Macaca fascicularis: one gene and its partner. The protein of the gene in region 2 purifies or fractionates together with the protein of the main gene of each other region. This does not show direct contact. Links are inferred from orthologs where the notes say so. Each region holds a gene or a part of one and is shown on either strand. Other genes may lie near its edges.

What was found. Proteins that work in one complex are often made in the same cells at the same time.
Region 1: the proteins of PTPN14 (region 2) and WWC2 purify together in Homo sapiens (affinity purification with mass spectrometry, with the first as the bait; 3 studies listed by BioGRID). This does not show direct contact. The link is inferred for Macaca fascicularis from reciprocal best matches to the Homo sapiens genes PTPN14 and WWC2.

Annotation. Positions count from the first base shown.
Region 1 is NC_088379.1:188,038,522-188,045,211, forward strand, and holds part of WWC2 (protein WWC2), read left to right. Parts: intron 1-1,790; coding exon 1,791-1,880; intron 1,881-3,454; coding exon 3,455-4,074; intron 4,075-6,690. UniProt on the Homo sapiens protein: Regulator of the Hippo signaling pathway, also known as the Salvador-Warts-Hippo (SWH) pathway.
Region 2 is NC_088375.1:72,329,856-72,337,192, forward strand, and holds the start of PTPN14 (tyrosine-protein phosphatase non-receptor type 14), read right to left. Parts: upstream 4,573-7,337; 5' UTR 3,983-4,572; intron 3,880-3,982; exon of another isoform or gene 3,753-3,879; intron 1-3,752. UniProt on the Homo sapiens protein: Protein tyrosine phosphatase which may play a role in the regulation of lymphangiogenesis, cell-cell adhesion, cell-matrix adhesion, cell migration, cell growth and also regulates TGF-beta gene expression, thereby modulating epithelial-mesenchymal transition.

The DNA.
Region 1 (6,690 bases), on a different chromosome or scaffold from region 2:
ACTGCAGGGAGAAAGGGCTGCTGGTGTCTGCCTTCTGGGATTGTAGGAGCCAAGTGGGAAATATGAACAAGAACACAAAGACAGGCACCTGTAGTTCAAAGCAGACATTAAAGGGCTGAAAGAGCAGCTGCTGAGCATCACCTGGAGAAGGCTGAGGACGCTCCCTAGTGATGGGGGAGGGGCAGCACTGAAAGTGCTGGGTCAGGGTCACATTCTGACGTCATCCTGGTGCCCCCTGAAAGCACTAGGAAAAGGCTTCATTTTAATAAAAGCAATATTGAGTTTTAAAACTTACTTCCAAAGTGTTTCTCTTGTTTCAGAAGACATGGATTTTAGTAGAGTTTGGGGCTTTCTTCAGACCTTTGTGCACCTTTTAATTCAGTTAGTCTACTTCATATTACTTTTTTCCTTGTTGAGTTTTTATTTATATTTGAAAGATTTTTTAAATGACTGCTGCTTTTAAAAATACACCTTTGAAAGCCATGAATTAAGAATTTATCACGCTTTTGAAGTATTAAAGAAAATGGCAAGAATTACTTTTTTAGTGTAACATACAATGGAATAGCGGTGTTGACACATCAAAGGGATAGATACCTATAAACAAAATATGGGCATGTTTCCTTACTGCCAGAAACATATATCACATTTCAAAGAGATTCGAAATTAAGGAAATTTTATTTTTCTCCAAAGAAAAGTGGCTAATTTCTATATCACCACTTTGCAGGGCATGCGGAGGCTTTAAACAAGTCAGATTTGTTTTTCTTCTCTGTCGAGTACTTCCCCATACATCTCTTTAACAGCCTTGCCAGGGAGACACAGGGGAATTATAGTCACCGGTTTACAGATTAGAAAAGGAAGACCCTTGATTCAGTGACTTACCCAAGGATAGGCAGCTAGTAAGCTGCAAATCAAGATGAGAAACCCAGATGCCCTTTTCCTGAGTTCCATTCTGCTGCTCACTACTCTGAACTAGTGTATTTCAATGATGTCTAAAGACCTTCATATGACATAGGCTATCCTTACACAGACTCTTAGTTGCATAAATCCCTGGGTACGTAGTATATTCTAAAATGACTTACTATTCAAGTATACAGTTCTATAATGCTGTATTCTAATTTAAAAAAAAAAACTTTTGCAGCTGAGTGTGGGTGAAATTTTATGATAATCTGACACAGATAATGAGATGTGCTATGGGTTGGAAGGGAAATCACTTTTAGCTCATCCTCTTCCTTAAACAGTTGAGCCCAAATTAGCCCACAGTGGTAATGTGGACTAAAATTGTTTCTTAATTGCTGAAATTCTTATCAAATTAGGGTTGGGAATGTTATCGCCAAATATTATGTTGGAACAAGCGTTACTAAATTCGGTATTTAGGGTGACCTTTACTATTGCTGTGAAATGTTTTAGGAAAGGGTTCCCAAGTCACAGATCTGTGTCAGGATTCTTAGTCTTTGTTTAGTTTTTTTGTTTTCATGGTTGTTTCCTCCTCAATCTTCTTCCCCAACTCAAAGGACCATGTTATTTACCCATTTAAAAAGATTCTAGACTACCAGCAATTTTAAATTCTCAGTGACATTGGTGATTGGGCATGATGCTCTCTCCCCATTCTTCAGCTTGGCTGTGTGCAGCTCTGCCTCCGACACTCCTTGCTGAGTGTCCTGTTTTCTGTCTGTGGAGCCCATTCACATTTTCCCCTTGTGATCTGTAATGCTTATACAATAAGAATCTTTCTTTTCTTTCAGTTTTCATATTTTGTTACAATCATTTGAAAATAATTTTTTTCTTCCTAGATTGAGATTGGAAGAGAGAAGAAAAGAGCTGTTACAGAAACTTGAAGAAACTACTAGATTAACTACTTATTTGCATTCACAACTTAAAAGGTGAGCTTATCAGATTTCTGAGGGGAAAACTTTGAATACATTCAGGCATATTCTTGTTCATCTCTGATTACTTTTCACTTTATTTCCAACTACTTAAAAGTAAATAAAATCATTATACTAGTACAGTTAATATTTGAGTGATCAGATTTAAAGTCACATTTTCTTTTTCATGAACCCAGTGTCATATTTGGAATACATTTGAAATATGTTATAGAAAGAAGATATGTTTTAGCTGTCAATACACTTAGGAAAATAACACATTTTTCCCATTGCCCCATTTTTTAAAAAGGGAAAACGGGGGAGTTTTGCCTTCAAATAGCCATAGATTTCCTTATATTGATGAAAAAAAAATTCACTCCTCACATTGACACACAAAGAGGAAAGATGAGCGAAACCAAGGGTCTTTTGTGTGACTTCTTTCTTTTTATTAGCTTGCCTTCTTTTCTCTAAAAATAAAAAGCTTTTTTTTTTAAAAAAAATAAAAATCTACATTAATGTTTTTGCCCTGTTTCTCTTTTTTTCTTTCAATATTTTTTAATCACAAAGTGGCTTCTAGATGTCTGTGCAAATAAACTTATCAGCAAGTATTTGATTCTTTTTATTTTTGCAAAAGGAGGATAATGTTTAATACTACTACTAGCTACTTAAAGAGTATTTGGAGAGCAAGGCTGAAAAGGTTAGTGAAGAAGCATAGACATGGTATACAGTTATGTGCCACATGATGACTGTTTGTCAAGGACAGACTGCATATATGATGGTGGTCCCATAAGATTATAATACTGTATTTTTACCGTGCTTTTTCTAGTTTAGCTATGTTTAGACACACAAATACTACCATTGTGTTATAATTGCCTACAGTATTCAGAACAGCAACTACTGTGCATGTTCATAGCCTGGGAGCAATAGGCTACGCCCTATAGCTTGGGTGTGCAGTGGGCTGTACCGTCTAGGTTTGTGTAAGTACACTCTGTGATGTTTGCACACACAGCCTGGAATCAGTAGGCTACACCCTATAGGTTGGGTGTGCAATGGGCTGTACCATCTAGGTTTGTGTAAGTACACTCTGTGATGTTTGCACACACAGCCTGGGAGCAATAGGCTACACCATATAGCTTGAGTGTGCAGTGGGCTGTACCATCTAGGTTTGTGTAAGTACACTCTGTGATGTTTGCACACACAGCCTGGAATCAATAGGCTACACCATATAGCTTGGGTGTACAGTGGGCTGTACCGTCTCGGTTTGTGTAAGTACACTCTGTGATGTTTGCACACACAGCCTGGAATCAATAGGCTACACCCTATAGCTTGGGTGTGCAGTGGGCTGTACCGTCTCGGTTTGCGTAAGTACACTCTGTGATGTTTGCACAGTGATGAAATCACCTAACATGCATTTCTCAGAACTCGACCTGGTTGTTAACTGACACGTGGCCGTGATAGGGATTTCCTCTGTCCCTGGCCATTGATTCCATTCTTAACAGGTTTCTGCCCTCTGCAGATCTGAAGGAGCCAGTAGGGATTGTGATAGGTTTTCCATTTTGTAGCAGATTTTATGGTGTGTGCTTTTCATCTTTCAGCCTCTCTGCCAGCACCCTGTCCGTGTCATCTGGGAGCAGCCTGGGTTCCCTGGCATCAAGTCGGGGCTCTCTGAACACCTCCAGCAGAGGGTCACTCAACTCCCTCAGTTCCACTGACCTCTATTACAGCAGTCAAAGTGATCAGATAGATGTGGATTATCAGTATAAACTGGACTTCCTTCTGCAAGAGAAAAGTGGTTACATTCCTTCCGGACCCATTACCACCATCCATGAAAACGAGGTGGTCAAGTCCCCCAGCCAGCCTGGCCAGAGTGGACTCTGTGGGGTGGCAGCTGCAGCAACAGGCCACACTCCTCCGCTGGCTGAGGGCCCCAAGTCTGTGGCCTCCCTGTCCTCGAGGTCCTCCCTTTCCTCCTTGTCTCCTCCAGGCTCTCCCTTGGTTTTGGAAGGCACGTTTCCCTTGTCTTCTCGTGATGCCCCTCTCCATCAGTTCTCTGCTGACTTTGAAGACTGTGAATTGAGTAGCCATTTTGCAGATATCGGCCTTGTCGAAAATCAGATTTTGCTGGATTCTGATTCAGGAGGAGCCTCCCAGTCTCTTTCAGAGGATAAAGACCTTAATGAATGTGCTGGTGAGCCATTATATGAAGGAACTGCAGGTAAATGCAGCCCTTTGCTTTCATGTATTCCCTCTTGGTGATTTTAAGGAGGATGATTGGAGGGTTATTTTTCCATATAAACAAAAGGGTATGATTCCCCTTCTCTTTCTTTTGAGTAATTGTTTTGGCTTCATTTAAGAAGGAGTTTTTACTTATATACCTAGATATTTTTCATTATCAAATAAAAATCACCTTCCCTATTTAATAGACTTAATCATTTAGTACCTGTTCAGTTGTCCAGAGACACTCTGTGTGTGGTAGCTGACGAGGAACGTATTTTGTGAACCCATTTCATATTTCCAAATAGATTCCGGTTCTGAAATAGCAAGGCAAAGAGGATTGTCTTTTAAAAGTTGGCCTAAAACAGATTAAAACCAAGGCAATTAACATACTAGCTAATTAGTACCAAGGTTCAGTGTTTAGATTGTTGAGGGAATTCTATATAAATACAGTTTTTGTTTCAAGCCAGACTCTCCTTTTCTGGCAAAAGTTAATTTGGAGCAGCAGGTTGCAGTGTATGGTATTACCCTGCCACCTTCTGGCCAGGTGAACTGTTGCAGCCCCGGGAAGAGATTACTAGAGATTGGAGTTCTTAGGCCTGCATTTGTATTCAAAAAGACAGAAACAGGAAAAATATAATGTTTTGTTTGTTTGTTTTCCTTTGCAAGGCAGGAACTTTGAATATGTTAGATGTGATTGTAAAGAGCACAAGATGGTACTCTTGTTGGCAGATGATCACTGTTGGTCTGAGGAGGAGGATCTGTTCCAGAGCTAGCTTGAGACAGAATGTGAAATAAAAGCCCCCGTGCTAGTCTAGAGGAGTCCTGTTCATAGCTACATGTTTTACTGACGAAAGAGGGCAGGGCTCTTTAGAAGTGCTCTTTTCCTGTTCCTAGAAGCATTTTTATTTGTATGTATGGTCCTAAGAATTCTAAGTAATCGATTGGCCAATTCAGATGTGTAAAGACATTGACAAATCCACCGTGTTTCTGTGGTTTCAAATACTGAAGACCCAAGTGCTGTGCCCTGCCAGTGGCCTGGGGCAGAGGGAGGGCCCATGAGACATCTGTGTGGTTTGTGCGCCCCCTCCTGGGCAGATGTCAAAGCTACAAGTAACAGGTTATAGAAATAACCACAAAGAAAATAACCAGGGGAATGGTGCATACGTAATGGCCCCAAAGAAACAGAAAGCCGTGTGGGGCCTTCACCACTGCTTCTGGGAAGGAGTATGGTTGTGTGTGTGTGTGTGTGTGTGTGTGTGTGTGTGTGTGTGTGTGTGTTAGGGGGTGCATACCACTCCTGGAACCAGCCAAGCCTCCACTCACACTTTAGTCACCAACATGTTTGGGTAAGCACACTACCTAGTCTCTCAGGATTGTGGTTCCTTATCTGCAAAATGGGGTTGCTACAGTAATCCTTGTGTCAGGCTGAAGGATTAATGCGGTGATACATGTGAAGCACCTAACCATGTCTGGCACTCAGCACACAGTTCATGATAATTATTAGTACTCTGTGACAGTGATGATGATAAGTAATAAACTCTGGCTAAACACAATTCTTACCATAAACTATGGAAAGCTATGAGAAGAAGAAAGAGAAGAAAGTGAAATGTTCTCTGTGCCCGTGTTCCATCCTGTGCTTTGAACTTACATCTCTTGACCCTTCAAGCTAGTTTTGCTCTTCCTGTATTTGGAGTGGTATCTACTGACCACTTCTAATGTTCAGTCAGTTTGGAGGGGCAGTAAGTGAGGCTGGATGCTGGAGAAGAGGGGAGAGAGTGATGAGGGGAAAAGTTGCCTAAAGTCTGTCACCCACCCAGTAATCCTGAGGTCTGGGAGTCCTGTCTTGCAGATGTCTCTGGTTGGCCCATGCCTTTTTCCTGACACTTGGGTCTTGCTGTGTCTGAAAAGTTTGTGGCTGGAGACAGGTATCTCTGAATCTTTTGTGAAACAGTTTTTAACTTTTTAAATGCATATATTAGAAAACTGCTGTTAAAAAGTTACCCTAAGAGAAAATACATCCAAGAACTTTGATTGCAGATAATATTCAGTTGCATGTCCAAAAACAAGTGACAGCATGCATTTAACCGTAAAGACTAATTCTCACAAATTAGCTGGGCATGATGGTGGACACCTGTGGTCCCAGGAGGCTGAGGCAGGAGGATGTCAAGGCTGCAACAAGCTGAGATTGCACCACTGCACTCCAGCCTAGGCGACAGGAGTGAGACCTTGTCTCAAAAAAAAAAGAAAGATGAATTATCTTCAGGTTACCAGCACTTTTTTTCAGGGGACATCTGCCCTGCATGTGGGGGTGGTGGTTCCCTATCAGGGACGTTTGTCATCTCCCTCAGTGCTCTAGAGGCTTAGGCAGGTAAAGTCAAGTCCCTTTTATGTAAACTTTGCTCTCCAGTGCCAATCCCTGCTGCGTGACACCAACCACGTTGGGATAACTACGAAGGCCTTCCACAGTCAGTCACTGTCATCGTCAAAGTCAATTTCAGGCTGCTATGGTTATTCCTGGGGGTAATCAATAAATCATGTCATCACCTTCACCCCTCACAAAGGGGGGTGGGCAGAGAGAAGGCACTTCATCATCAAGGAAAAAGCATTCCCACTG
Region 2 (7,337 bases):
ATATGGCAAAGGCACTGCTGGTCTGGGCAAGATACATTTCCTCTCCCCTCCTATTGCAAAAATCCAGGTCAGGCCTGCATTTTCCTGGGCTCTCTGCCCCTGATTCCCCAAAGGGGTAGGACACCTTCATATGATCTCCAGGCCTGCATGCCATCCTGCAGAAAAGACTTAACCAATTCTTTGCCACTCTGTTTCAAGAACACATGCTTTCTTCTAACATTGTTCTAACATTGTTCCTTTCTTCTAACATTCCCTTGCACTTTGAGGTTGATATGAAGATCAATAATTTAATGTTTGTCAAATACTCTAGGTTTCTCAGATGAAAGACAACATTAAAGTTCAAATAACCAGTGGCTGGCATTACACAAGAAGTATTGCAGTTTACTCTTTATATTTGGGCTTCACTAGGCTGCAAAGATATATCAGCTAGCTTTTGTACTCTTGTTAAAGGCAAGAGTTACCCTAACATTCTTTAACTAGATTTCAACATTAGAAATACAAGGATCCTTACATAAAATACTGGCCCCTGATTACAGTAAGAATTATAGAGGGAAAAAGATCTTTTTCTCTGCCCTTCTAATCTCTCAGTGGCTTTCCCTCCTCAAACTTCTCTACTGCCTGGTCCCCTACCTCTCAATTTCCTCTTGTAGGAGGGGCCACATGGCAGCTGCCAGCCAACATGTTTGTTTTGAGCCAATAGACTGAAAAAAAAAGTTAGAGACAAAGCTTTATGTGTATGTTTACACACATGTGAATTCAGGCTGCTGAAAAAATAACACACAAAGAGAACATTCATGGCCACATACAAGTCCTTGAACATATAAATAGCCATCCTTGACCTATTCTGTGTGAGGTGCTGTTATACAGCATGACACTGAATTCTCCATACACATCCTGAGAGGCTAAATGTTATCAGATCCATTTTGCAGATGAAGAAACTGAGGCTCAGAAGGGCTATGAAGTTCATCCAACATCACACAGCTAAAAAATAGCAGAGCTGGAATTCCAACCTAGTTATATTTCAAACTCCCAAACCTGGACCGCCTGCTCTAGCACACCGACAGCCAGGAAAAGCTATAGAACTTACCACACATACCCCTTGGACCATTCAATAAGCCATCGGTGAGATGCATACAGAGGAAGTATTAATTAAATCAAATTAAATCCGTAAGGGGAGATCCAAAAACGTATTTTAGACATTAACTTGAACTTCCTCCCTACCAAAGCTTTAGTGTTTGTTTTCCCTCATTCCTTAATTGGCTAATTAAGTATTTCATCTTATCTCTTTCTCATGCATTATCTCTAACAAAGCTCACAGCACTGTTCTGAGGCTTAAAATGAATTTTTTAAAAACACAGCATTTGGTGACTAAGTAATGAAGCTCAAATGCAAGAATTTGACGAAATCCTTGCTCAAAAATGACAAGAATATGAAACCCAGGAGGGCTATAATATGCAATCAAAGGGTTGATGTTTGCTTCCCTGGAGCAAATTTAAACCTCTAATAAGGAAGGAAGGCACTGGAAAATAAAAAGTCCTCATAGTTCTTGACACTTAGCCCATACGTCCAGGGCAAGTAAGAATTATTCTAAAAATTCTGATTTTTCTCTGAATTCCTTATGGTGCTTCCCTATTAAAAGTCTAACTGTTCTTTCTAGTACAGCTACCAGCGTGACACAGTATGCACAAACCTGAATAACTCAAGTGTTAATAATAATTACATGTTGAAGCCAATGATGGAAACTGGGCAAATGCCTGGGATTCGCGGGAAAGGGCTTCTCTTCAACCATGTCTCTCATGCAGGTCCCCACACCTTCAGGAAACCTTCTGTGAAGGGGCTGTTCTTGAGATAAGAAAAGATGCTGGTCGAGGGGCTTGGATAAACACCCAAAGGTGTAGGAAGTCACTGTGTTCTTCCTACTCTGATGTACTGGCCTGAGGTCACCAAAAGCTGGATGTCTGCCACCTCGGCCAGGACTCAGCCACTAGGAACAATACTACAGCACCACTTCAGTCCAGTGAAGAGGCACCCTTGAAAGGCAAACCACGTACAGAACGCTACTGCATTGTAAGAAACTTTTCTAGCCAGGATTTGCTGAATCCTGGGCCATTAGGCTACAAAAATCTGCAAGAAGATAGTGTTTTCTATTTTCATAAAGTTTCAGAGAGAAGAACGACAGTCCTTACAACTGTGCGTGCTAAAGCAATAGTAATGACTTCAAAGTAGAGAAAAGTATAACAAACTTCGTGACATACAGATGAACTAATTTTGCACCACATGGCCACCCATTCAGACTGGGCAAAAAGGGCATCATGCCATTCAGCTCCCGCTCATTAAGGCTGTCATTTCTATGGCACAAGCTTTAACCCCATCACCAAACAATTAGGTAACTTTATAATACAAGGTCCGTAAAGCCTTGTATTACCACACCTATGGCTGTCAAGCAGCCTTTTAAAAAAGGAATCATTGTTTGAATGTGGGGGATAAAAAAGAAGAATAATCAATACCATGTTAACGAAACCGAGCATGGGCCAATTAAAATTTAGATGATCATACAACAGCTGCTTGTGGTAAAACAGCAGCAGGCATGGAAGTGTATCCAAAGAGGGAGGCCTTGGCTCCACTGGAAGCTACTTGTGGTTCCCATCAGTGGCTAACGCACTCCTAGATTAATTTCTTATATTGGGGGTGGAGAGAATGCTATCCCAGCAACACTGCACCAACATGGCCATAAATGCCCCTTGGGCCCCCAGATGGCTAGGGAAACTTTCGGTCCTTCTTGTGTTCACTCTGCACCAGCTGTTTCCTCTGCCTGGAATACACCCTCCAGATGAGCACAATCTCCATTCTCTAAGCGCAGTGCACGCCTCACCAGGACCAAGCTCGCCTCAGACTCTCACAGAACCCATCTTCCACGCATTATCATTCTTCATCTGCCTTCAGGTTTCCTCCACTAGGCTGCAGACTCCTGCCCTGTGATCTCGTTTAGCATCTTTCTATCCCCTGTTCCTAGCAGAGTGGAAGCTGGGTTTGTTGGATGAATGAGTAAACTAATCCATTTCAAGAAGTTAACACATTGGTGGAAACTCTGTAACTGCCCGCGCCTGCAATCTAGAGATTTCTCACCTTCACAAAGAACCTGCGACAGCCAGTCCCCAGACTTAAGCGGAAACCCTACAATCTCTGAAATTGTAGGTGGGGATGAGGGGGCTGGAGGACAGGAACTGAAGGAAGTGAGAGGAAAAGGGAGGTAGGGGCAGCGTTACCTCACTGCTCTCTCCAAACGAAAAGGTGTAAAACCCATTTACAAGTATTCAAACCCGAGATCTGGGGGTCACGTGGGGAAGGAGAGGCTGTTAATACCTAGAACTTGAAAAGTTTGAGGTGGAGACCTGATCTGAAATTGTGTGACCACAGCTTTTTTCTACGAGCCAGCCCGACCACCCAAGTAGGAGCCTCGACGCCCAGGAGTTCGGTGGCACCACTGAGGCCTAGTGAGAGGGCAGGAAAACTCCGCTCGCCTCAAGATCCCTTCCCGGTGGTGGTGGGGGGTAACTCGGGGCGTCGGGCAGCTGCGTCCCCCTACCGCTGCAGCGACCGCGACGTCGTTCGTCTTTCATCCTCTAGCCCCCAAGGTTTAGGTATCTCCAGGTGCCCCTCCGAGGCCCTCTCTCATTCCCAAAACGCAGAAGGGAAGGGAGAGAGAAGACGAGGGTGTGGGTTTAACCACAAACTCCCCAGACGGCGCTCACCTTCCAGCTCGCTCCGGGACAAGCTTTGCGCCTCACCACGGGCAGCTCCCACCGCGATATAACACCCCTGCGGCCCGGCCACCCAGCGCCCCCGCTGCCCTGCCAGGCGTCCCGGGCCGCCAATCGCAAGTTGGCGTTGCCAGCGTCTGCCCAAGTCATCTGCAGGGCGCCCGGAGCGCCGAGGCGGCCTCCAACCTCGGGCCCGACTCCCCGGCTTGGACGGGGCTTACCTGCTTACATGGCCCCCGTGGCGCCCCGGAGTCCCGCGCGGAAAGGCTGTCCTTCGCGGCGGCGAAGCCCCGATTCCCCACGGAATTGATTCCAGTGGCTGGCGGAGGAGGGGCGAAGGGAAGGAGCCGCAGGAGGCGAAAGGGGAGGGAGGTTTCCGCCGCGATCCTGGCGCGAGAGTCGGAGCAGAGGCGCACCGGGGAAGAAAAGGAGAAAAACCTAAGCACTGGCTGTCCCGTTCCAGGAGGCCGGGGAGGATGGCTCAGCTGGGAGGGGAAGGAGCGCCAGTGGCCACTTGTGTCTGTCTAGGGCTCCCCAAGGACCTGAGCCAGCAGAGCAGGCGGCCGAGCCCGGAGGAGCACAGCAACCTGCCCCCGAGTCTGCGTCCCCTGCGCTCACTCCACGGAGAAAAAGTTGGGAAGAACTTTGAGGGGCCGGGAGAGCCAGAGCGGCAGGAAATGCGAGCGGCCGGCAGAGGAGGGAGGAAGGGGCCGTGCGAGTGGGAGGGGACGGAGCAAGCGCCGGCGGCCACGGCTCCCCCACCCCAGAGCCGGGCTCGGCAGCGCTGGGGGCCTGGAGGCGGAGGGAGCGCGGGGCGCGCGGCCGGGGGCGGGGAGGAATGCGGCCCGGGAGGGCGCGCGCCGGGGGCGCCGCGGGCGCGCGCTGAAACGTGGAGCCCCAGCTCCAGAGCTCCCAAGCTGGAGGCGCGCCGTCCTTGGGGACGTCACAGCGCTGGAATCCGAGGAATGCCGGGCTGCAGGAGCTCCTTCTGCAGGCCCGGAGAAGTCGCGCACTTTTAATGGTGTAGTTTTGGAAAATGTTTTAAAAGGTGGGGGCCGAGGACGGAGGACCGGATGAAACTCCCTGGAGTAAGAGACGTTGAAGTGGAGAGAGCGAGGCGACCGCAACCACCCCAACCCTGTGCCGCTCCCGCCGTTGGGAAGAAAGAGGCAAGGAAAGGAAGATCCCACCTAGACTTCCGAGGACCGCAGAGACGGGGTGGCGGCAGGATCTTGCCCACCCCGACCTAGATCAAGGACAGTCCACCTTATATTGGGGAACCCTCCAAGCAGGACGCCTCATGCAGCCACCTCACAGGGGAAAACAGACCAGGAGAAAGTAAGGTGGCCTCACCGAGTAGGCAATCTCAAAGATCTCTCCCTAGAACCTCTGGGTACTGGACCCGGTGTCTTAGCCTTCTCTCCCTGCCCCCTCCTGCCCCCTAGGAATGATAAAAAGCAGCCTCTGTGCTGAGAGTTGGAAAATGTCGTTTTCCCGGTTTGTTCCATGCCACAGAATCGCCCCACCCTGCTTGGGTAGGCACTGGGAGGGAACTTCCTTAGCACTTTCGGAGGTGGAGTTAATGAGACGCAGCTGGTATGATGGAAAAAGCTTGGAGCCAGGAGACTGAACCTGAGTTTTAGGCCCTGCCCGATTGGATAACTGAGGAGTATCCCAGCCCCTGAGATCCTAGGTTTCTGTAGCTGTAAAAATAAAGAATTTGTCTAGATTTCTGTGGTCCTTTGCATTGCTAACATGTCTTGGGATATGTTATCTTGCTAAGATTCCAGTCCTTTGTTGAAAAAGAGCCTTGAAGTCGTTGTCACAGAATGTGCTGTCCCAAATCACTTCAGTGTCTGGCAACTCATGCAAAAATTCCTGGCCTCTTGGGGAAGAGAACTGGAAACCAAAAAGCACGGTGGCTCACACCTGTAATCCCAGCACTTTGGGAAGCCGAGGCGGGCGGATTGGCTGAGCTCAGAAGTTCGACACCAGCTTGAGCAACACGGTGAAACCCCGTCTCTACTAAAATTCAAAAAGTTAGCCGGGCGTGGCGGCGTGCGCCTGTAGTCCCAGCTACTTGGGAGGCTGAGGCAGGAGAATTGCTTGAACCCGGGAGGCGGAGGTTGCAGTGAGCCGAGATCGCGCCACTGCACTCCATCCTGGGCTACAGGGCCAGACTACGTCTCAAAAAAATAAAATGAAATAAAATAAATAAATCCGTAGTGACTCTGATTTTCTTCGAGCATCTGCCAATCTCTAGAACTATAAAGAATTAGAGAAAACGCCGAGTGCAATGCAAAAGTGATGGAAAGAAAAGGTTGAAGGGAAATCAACTTTCTCACATTTTAAAGGAAATAGCTGTACAGACGCGCTAGGTTTCCAAAGAAAACATTAGGCAGTGCCTGACTGTGTTCCAGAAAGTGTGGAAAGCACTCCCCCATTCCTAGATGAGGAAAGTGAGGCATGAAGAAATTACCTGTCTCACTGAGGGTCATACAACTAGGAAGATATGATCAGGTCCCTAGTCTGTCAGGCCTAAAGTGCATGCTCTTAATCTCTTTGAAATTGGACCCAAACAGGATTAGGATTAAAGATAAGAAAATGCCTTCAGGCTCTCAATGTAAAACTCTGGCTTTTGCTCTTTCCTGGGAGATGGGAGGCCTGGTGTTGGTGTCTTTTCTAGTGGAAAGACACTAGGAAATATATTTTGTTGCTCTAACACCACTATGCTACCAAACTGAGCACAGCACCCTGAGACTGTTGTGGCATAAAAGAAGCAGCAAAGGACTTGTTGGCCTTCTTGTGCAGACACAAGGGTTCCAGTTCTGCCTCTGACCAGCCTTCGGAAGCCAGCCTGATCAAGCCACTTCACTTCTAGGCTTGAATTTATTTTCTAAGTGGAGTGTGGCAAAGAGAGCAGAGCTTGGTTGGAATAGTTCATCTCTGAGGTCTTTCCCAGGTCTAAACTTGCGTCAAAGTACACTTCTCCAGATAGATGGCAGTCTATGGAGGAAGCTAAGCAATAAAGCCAGTGGATAAAGCCAGTGTCTGGGGACAGGACTGTTTTCACACCGCCTTCGGATGAAAATCAATGTTGAGACTCCAATGAATGTGGCTGAGAGTTCAATGATAAGTAACACCAAGATTTAGTACTAACCCTGTAGATGCATTTTAAAAATTTAGATAATTTTACCTACAGAAAGACAGTCTGGGCAACATGGCGAAACCCCAACTCTACACAAAATACAAAAATTAGGCAGGCATGGTAGCTGTAGGCTTGTAGTCCCAGCTACTAGTGAGGTGGGAGGATTGCATAAGCCCGGAAGGTCGAGGCTGTAGTGAACTGAGATCACACCACTGCACTCCAGCCTGGGTGATAGAGTGAGATCCTCTCTTGAAAAAGAAAAAAATGTGTTATTAATATAAAAGCCTATAAAGTGTATCTGACCAGTCATATTTCTTTTTCTTTAGAATAGATCACAGAAAGGCAATACAAATAAGAATATTTTCTAAATAGAAAGTACAGCTTGAAGTGACAAAAACCTTTCATTCTCAGAATAAATACATAAAAGC